Mus musculus: one gene and its partner. The protein of the gene in region 1 interacts with the protein of each later gene in a biochemical or structural test. Links are inferred from orthologs where the notes say so. Each region holds a gene or a part of one and is shown on either strand. Other genes may lie near its edges.

Evidence for each region.
Region 2: the proteins of Ets2 (region 1) and Zmynd11 form a complex in vitro, tested with the Homo sapiens proteins (2 studies listed by BioGRID). The link is inferred for Mus musculus from reciprocal best matches to the Homo sapiens genes ETS2 and ZMYND11.

Annotation. Positions count from the first base shown.
Region 1 is NC_000082.6:95,701,091-95,705,411, forward strand, and holds the start of Ets2 (protein C-ets-2), read left to right. Parts: upstream 1-1,316; 5' UTR 1,317-1,554; intron 1,555-4,321. UniProt on the Homo sapiens protein: Transcription factor activating transcription. Binds specifically the DNA GGAA/T core motif (Ets-binding site or EBS) in gene promoters and stimulates transcription.
Region 2 is NC_000079.6:9,709,700-9,713,514, reverse strand, and holds part of Zmynd11 (zinc finger MYND domain-containing protein 11), read left to right. Parts: intron 1-487; coding exon of another isoform or gene 488-532; intron 533-3,207; coding exon 3,208-3,369; intron 3,370-3,815. UniProt on the Homo sapiens protein: Chromatin reader that specifically recognizes and binds histone H3.3 trimethylated at 'Lys-36' (H3.3K36me3) and regulates RNA polymerase II elongation. Does not bind other histone H3 subtypes (H3.1 or H3.2).

The DNA of each region.
Region 1 (4,321 bases):
CTGTGTGTACCAAGCTTCTCAGATACGTGGTCAAGGCGTGAAAATACTTGCAGGGAGATAGGGCCAACGGACACACTCCTTCAGACAAGTCAGTACCTTCTGCTATGTTTTTTTTTTTTTTAAGTTAGCATATGCTGTTCCGTGTCTCCATGGTAACGGGACAGGGACTCTTTCTTCTATTTATGGAGTTCCTCCTTGACCTGGGTTCTCTGGTCTGGACCTGAATACACACTGAGAAGCCATGAGGAAATATCAATTCCCTCTGGACCTAGCTGTTTTAGCTTAGTGGATTAGGCCTTGACTCCTGCAAAGGTGATACACTGGAGAGAAGTATCAGGTGTAATAGTATCTTGATTGGCAATAATTTCAGATGGGGAGTTGCCATGGAAACCAGGAACCCTGCGGTACCAGAGAAGCTGGGGTCTTCCACTCCCTTCCCGGCAAGGCTGTCCTTGTAATGTACCAATCGTCAGTCCCGTGGCCTTGCCTGAGCTTGCCATTTGCAATTTCATATGCCATCTCTGGTAACAACCTAAACTTGAGAAGGAACGAAATAATATTCAACGTACACCTGTGCCTACGGATGAATCCCACAGGTTTCCAACCATGGACTCAACGCCTTCTGACCAAAAAGGAAACCACTCTTTGGCTTGTGTTTTGACCATGAGTTTGGGAGAGTCACGCTGGACTTGACATGTAGTTGACCTCGTAGACCATGTTAAGTAGAACACAGTAGTAGCCTTGAAGGATTTACTAAGACTAATAATAGATGGCGCCTAAGTGCTCGGCCAAGTCGGCGCTGAGACTCGGCTCAGCCCTAGGGGGCGCCATCCGCACCGAGGCAGTAGGAGGGGCCTCTCCAGAGGCAAGCGGCTGCGCCACGTTCTGCTCTTCCACTCGCGACTCCGCCACCCGCCCACTTTGCGACTCCCTAACCCCACGTATGAGTCTTTCACGACGAAGGACCAGAAATCAGGACCCACACGTAGCTCCAAGCACAGGGCAGGCTCCACCGCAGAAGCCTAACCACCCAACCCAAGTGCCAACAGGGCCCCCAGCTCGGACCTGCAGACAGCCTAACGCGGGCGGATACGGCCCTGCCTTTCTAGCTGGACCTCCTGGGCATAACGCCCGAACCGGGCTCCAGGAGCAGGGGCCAGCAGGCAGGCGACAGCGAGCTGCAGGGTCGCAGAGAAGGGCCCGGGAGCAGCGTGGATCCGCCGCTGCCAGAGCGCGCTCTCCTCCCACGCCGGCCTCGCGCTCGCTCCTCCTCCGCGCTCTCTCCGTCACCCCTGCTGTCCCCTCCCCCGGTTCCCTCCGGCCCTCCCCCAGCTCCAGAAGAGCGCGCGGCTAGGAGATCGGGCTGGTTACTTCCTTCACCGCGGCGTTGAGCACAGAGTGGACACCACTGAGGCCCGTCAGTCCCCGCCACCTTCCCCGGCCCCGCGCGCCCGGATCGGCCCTACGGCCTCGTCTCGCCCGGCCTTGCGCGCCGGGACCGCCGCGATCTCCTCTCCCCGCCGCCCTCCGGCTGGCCCTGCCTGCTGCGGCGCGGTAAGAGCGGCCCCTGTGCGCGATGGTCCTCAGCAGAGACTCCGCCCGGGGTGGGGTGTAGTGCGGGCGGCCCCTGATCCCGCCGGGCCATCGCGCGCCCCAGAGCCGCTCCGGCTGGTTCCTAGGCACCCAGTGGCCTCGGAGGGGGACCCAGGCATCGGGCAGGGCGCGGGCAGACCGCTTTTGTTTTGGGGAAGCCAGTGGTCGCCCCGTGCGGTTCCTGCCCGGGGTGCGCGACTGCGTTTCTCGAGAGGGCTTGAGGCACCTGGAGAGGTGGCCGAGGTAGCCCCAGGTTCGGGGTGACTTGAGTTGGGGAGGCGCTAGGCCTGGAAGGATGTGGGGGTGTCCGGATCATGGAACACCTGGGAAGTTGCGGCTCCCGGGAACGTGTCACCTGCTTGGCCAGGTCTGGGCTCCCCTGGGCCCTGGGAAGCCAGTACGGGATACGGTCCAAGTAGGGGTGCTGGTGGCTGCTCTGCTTTTATTTTCTCCTTAAAGCATATGAATGAAGGGGTAACCTGAAGCGTTTGCGTATTTGACTTTTTTTTTTTTCTAATTTACTATTTAATCTCATAAGACTTGTACTAGCCTGCACTCAATTTCAGGGGAGCCTAAAATAGTAGTTGACTCGCTACTTATTTAGAAAGTAAAGCGGTGAGCAGTCCTGGTTGGAGAGAGGAGTCATTTAATTCGCCAGTTGAGAGACTTGCTCCCGCTGTGGAAGCTCCTGTCGGTATCTGCCTGCCTACACCACCGCCAATCCGGAGATACATCTCAGTGTTAAGCTTTTATTAAAATCTGAGTAATCTCGCAGTGCAGTTAATGTGAACACCGTGCATCCCACAGGGAAATAGCCAAACTCTCATATATGGAATTAGTCATTCATTTCTCTAAACTGATTGCTAAGCAAAAGGCAAACCAACCTTCAAAGGGTTTTGTCCTTTTATTTTATTTTTTTAACCTAAATTTATCTAAATACAAACTCATGCTCTCTTATATAAGTGATTACCTGTTCCACTAAGGATACAGTTATCCATGAAATTCTTGTTTAAAAACCTAACTATTCCCAGTTACTACATTTCTGCCATTTTCTCCCATTTCTTGTTACTATTTTTTTTTTTTTTTTTAGCCCATCACCAGTACCAAAAAGTCTAAACTTGAAATTGATTTATCTAGAGTCTTGACTTGTCCCAGGGGTTAGCAAGCACATCCAGTCGGATAAATGAACTTAAATTTGATTAGCCGTGGGTCTGCCTGAAGCCATTTAGTGGAGGGCTTTAATTCTACATTCTTTTTTTTTTTTTTTTTTTTTTACAAAACTCATTAAAAGCCAGGCAACAAAGGAACCCTGTTCTGCAGCCGGTAATTACAGCATTTATGTGGGAGTGGGAGCCTCCCTTTTCTGCTCCTGTTTGTACACAAAAGGCAGGGGAGCTCTTCCCCAACCTCTGAAGCTATTCTCTGCCCATCTCAGAAGCGAAAAATCACAGAGAAGTCCTCGAGTGTCTGTACACTGGGGCAACAGAAAGCACTGTCCGACAGGCCCTGGAGGAACCACGTGGACACCTCTGCCTCTGCTGCTGGTTTTCTGCGGGAGGCTTGTGTTTAGTCAACAGGTTACAGGCTACAGGGCTGACTCCATCCAAGTAGGCGACATGAAGTTCTCAGTTGGCGAGTGTTTCACAGGACTGAAGTGTGACAGAAAGGCCTGGTTTGCTCATATTTGTGTGCTCTCTGCTTCAGTGGGGTGGGGTAGGGAGAGCCCACTCAGGCATGGTCAGGATTTAAGGCCCTACTGATCTGAGGCGTAATCTCCACAGACACCCCCAAAGGAGTGTGTAGTCTAGGCCGGTGACTCAGTTGTCACCGGTCCTCAGTTGCCTCAGAATAAAGTGATTTTACATTTGGAACCTGGACTCTCAGGAGGATTGTGAGGAAGTGGGACTTGAGTCTTCACATTGGGAGCTAGGCATGCTGTCCTGGTGGTCTTCGTCTGTGAGGAATATTGAACCCACAGTAGGTATAGCTGGGATAATATACCAAGGGAGAACCTGAAGAAATGTCCCCGCTCTGGAGACTGCACAGTCCCTGCTGTGACATCACCAGGATGGTGGCTCCTTCAAGGCCCCTCAGCTTTTCTGGGCTGCTTTAACCCTGATCTGCATGTCTGGGCTCCCAGCAGCCTTCCCTTAAGGCCTCTTTCTGCTCTGTGGCCTTTTATCAAGGTGTGAGTGTGTGCACGTGTACACTCACACATGTCGGTGTGTGCATGCGAGTATGCATTCACTAGGAAATTGTTAAGCCATCTGTCATTGGCCCACAATGTTGACTATAAAAAGAACACAAGACAGAGGGATCAAAGCAAGTTAAATAATTCTTTGAGACTATGCTATCTGCTGCCTCTAGTGAGTTCTATCAGTTGCCTGCTAATTTTAGTGACTGTGTGTGGTTAGCAGGTGGGTGCCCATGAAGGAGAGCAAGGGGGTGGTGGTGGTGGCTGGGGGTTGGACACTCTACACAATGGAGCTATCGAAGGCTCCCGTTCTGTAGCTTGGAGCCTGGAGGACGGAGAGCTGCCGTCCAGTGATGGTGATCTCTGGTGTGTGGAAATGAGGCTCCGTGACTGGGTCTGTCTAACGCTCTCTGATATTGTTGAAGGGCCTTCTTTCATTTAGCATGTCATATTAGGGCTCCAGAAAATTTTTTCAGACCACTGCAGGTCACATTTTGGTTTTTGGTTTTTTTGTTTTCCTTCAACATGCTCAAA
Region 2 (3,815 bases), on another chromosome or scaffold:
CATGTGAGGTTTTGATGGTTACATATTTTTAGTGATTTTTTTAAACATTGAAAATAAATGGTGAGGTATTGAGTTTACCACCCTCACATTCATTATTCTTATCTTTAAAAAAGTCTAGTGTAGTCCAGTTTTAGACCAATCAGACATGCATTTGTGGTACCATACTGCTGTGTATGGTGTGGACTTTGCTAATAAGACATTTTCCTAACGTGGCTGTAGATTTCATGCTATATGAGTTCTCAGAGAGATTCTCTGTGTCTGTCCATAACCTTCCTCTACAATTAGTGACAGCTCTTAAGTTTGCATGCTACTATCTTTTCATTAATTATCAACTCATTAACAGAATTTTCTGTTAACGTTGTCTGCCAAATAGTATGAATCATTCTTGAAATAATAAACCATTGTGTGAAATCCCTTTAGCCCTGTATTATCCAATATGAGCAAAATTGTGATAGAGACCAAGATTATCTTGTTTGTATTTTGAAAGGCCTACAGTACGCAGCCTTTCTCCAGGACAGCAGCCCCAAACAAGGTGAACTAATTTTGCATTATGTTATATTACTTTAATTCTGCTGTTTTGTTTTGTTTTTTGTTTTTGTTTTTGTTTTGTTTTGTTTTGCTTTGCTTTGTTTTGGTTTGGTTTTGGTTTTGGTTTTGGTTTTTAAATAGAGCTCTTGCTTGTTTAGATCAACTCAGTTAGTTCTTTCTAGATGTATGTATGAAGAGAGTACTATCTTATACTGCTTCCAGTTTTGAACTCTGTATTAGACTTGCTCTTTAACAACATTCTTGTTCTGAAGTGGAATTTTACACAGGCTGCTAAATAGGCTGTTCCCAGAGCATCTGATGGCATCTGGTGGCATCTAATAGAAATGTAACCTCAGCTTATTGACATATGGTACTGATGGGTGGCAGCCTCATGATTTCAATGATTTCTGTTTACTAAAGATAAACTGGAGGCAGCTTGGCCTGTGGTCCATATGACTCATTTTTGCATCAGAAAATTTTAATGGATTTGGAATCCAGTTACTTTTGTGCTTGACTTTTGTATGTTTTGTGTATTATAAATAGCCTTCGCCATGATTAAAATAACAAGCATTGTCATCATATGGATATATGATGAAGTTAGTAGTATCCATTTTAAAAGCATAACCAAGCCAGGCATGGAAACATGCCTGTAATCCTAGCACTAGAGAGTCAAATCTATGACTCCAGGCCAGCCTATTCTACACAGAGAGTTCCAGTCCTGTTAGTGAGACCCTGTCTTTAAAAACAAGAAAACCAAGAAAAAAATAAAAAATAAAATTAATTAAATTTAAAAGTTTCTGCACTTTGCTTCATTTAACAAATGATTGTATCCCTGCAATTATTTTTAAAAGTATAGAGTTAAAAGTGTAGAGTTAGGCAACCCAACATTGACTGACCCATTTCAGTGTCTGTTTAAGAAGTAGGTAAAAAGCATGGCATGGGGTGAAAAGACTATGGTGGGGAGTGAAGTAGAAAAGCCGGAACTGTGCTCTTCCTCCTTTTTAACATCGTGGGATCTACCATTGGACCCATCATAGGAAGGTGAATTCAAGTAAAAACATTAAATTATGAAGGTTGATAGTTTTTATTATTAAGTCAATATAACCATTAATCTCTTTAAGATATTTTCAAACAACTATAAGAATTAAATACTTTGTTTTAAGCTTTGAATAAATTCTTTAATTAAAAAATAGAATCTTGAAACCTATTTTTATTATATTACAGTTTTTAAACATGAAAATGAGTTAGGTACACACACAATGTGTATATGAGACGTCTATCTGAAATACGTACACCAGTGACTAATTTTCTTTGAGCTAAGTACTATATACATGTTTTTTGTGGTGTCCCAGAATCAGACATGGTAGTGTAGATTTTTTTTTTTCTGAGTTTTTCTAAGATTAGAGTTTGATACAGCCTCAGTGAGGAACCAAAAAGTGTTTCTCTTTTTCTTTATTGTTCTGGTCAGTGAAGACCATCAATTTCTTAATAAAATATAAGTACGGAAAGTTTATATTCCTAGAGAATAGACTATTCTGCTCTGGTCATGACTCTGGGTGTGGGTTAGAAGGCATATGTTTTTAACATAACTGACTCTATGCTCTTTGTGAGTGACTGGTGGCATTCACATGTGGCCCAAGTAGTCAATGTGTATTGATTGCTAGTTTGAACCACATTTGCTGGGATAATATTATTATCTGAGAAAATGAGGAAGCCACTCATCCTTGGAAAGAATACAGATATATATACAAATAATTGGTAGCTGAACCCAACTGTGGAATGTCAGGATTCCCAGCAGAAATAGCCTTGGTGGTGTTAGCCTCTGTTTTCCCCTTTGTTCATTTGGGTTTCATTTTACACTGACAAAAAAGGACAAGATTAACCTTTACTCTGACGTGTGATTTTAGGAAAAGGGAGGAGCAACATTTATAAAGAATGAATTCTCAGCTAAGAGCAAATCCAACAGTCCTTCTGTTGCCTACCTCACAGCTCAGACCTGTTAAGGAGTGCTAGGACTAGACACACCAAGAATCGAGCCTTCTTCCTCTTGTCTTATATGGTAATCAATCTCTTTTAGATGGTGTGACTAAACCTTTAGTTTTACATTTTCAGTTTATTTTTCTAAATTTAACAGATCCTGAACATGGTGACCTGTCAGGACATGGGCATTTTGATTAGTTGTTATTTTCAGTTAAGTATCGAATACAGTGGCTGAGATACAAGCATAGTGAGTGTCACCACTCGTGGCTGCACCTGTCCCCACAGCGTGTCAACATTCATTTTGTAATCTGTAAAAAGAAGGACAAAACACAGGTTTGTTTGTTGGAAATATAAAGCCCCTGGTTGATGTGAGGCACTCAGCTTATAATAGACATTATTCCTTAGATCCTAGTTTCAAATAAAGATAATGTTAGACCTGGGATTGGCTCTGGACATAATTCACTTTGGAGTTGTTTGCTATCAGATCACCATAAGGTATTTCTGAGTATTGATACAACATAGGAGAGAATCAAATTTTAAAGTAAATTTCTAGGTATTTTCTCTCTTGTTTTAACACATTAAATGTCTTAAAAAATGTTTATAATGCCTAACTTGTGATGGACTTTAGTTTCAATTTTGTTCTTAGTTATTGAAGATATTGACAAAATGTCATACAAAATTATTTTGTATTTTTTGTAGGACTGGGAAACAGAAACTCATGACTGGTATTGTTTTGAATGCCATTTGCCTGGAGAGGTGTTGATATGTGACCTGTGTTTTCGTGTGTATCATTCCAAGTGTTTGTCTGATGAGTTCAGGCTTAGAGACAGCAGTAGTCACTGGCAGTGCCCAGTTTGCAGGGTGAGTACCTATGAGCTTTCCTGTGCTGGTCAGAGGGTTGGAATCAATGAATGTTAGTGTCACCGAGGTGCCCCAGATGGTATTGCCAGGTGAATGATGAATCCTGGAGGGTGGGGGTTACTTGGTGAAATGACTGACAAATGAACACAACACTCATAAACGGGCATCGCAGACACACCCCATGTTTCAGGATGCACATTTTAGAGAATTTTAATCACATAGAGATAGCTTCTCTTCACATATTTTACACCTATTTCTAGATCATGTGACTGCTTTAAAGGCTAGCCTTTCAGAACATGAACTGTTTGCCACATGGAGGTCTGTTCAATAGTGGTTCTATAATGCCTGGCAGAGTTGATGCTACCGAGCACTTCTCAGCAAAAGGCCCAGTGTTGGAGTGCACTTGATCACCTTCCCATCTTATAAGTGGAAGGTGCTTTTTCTTT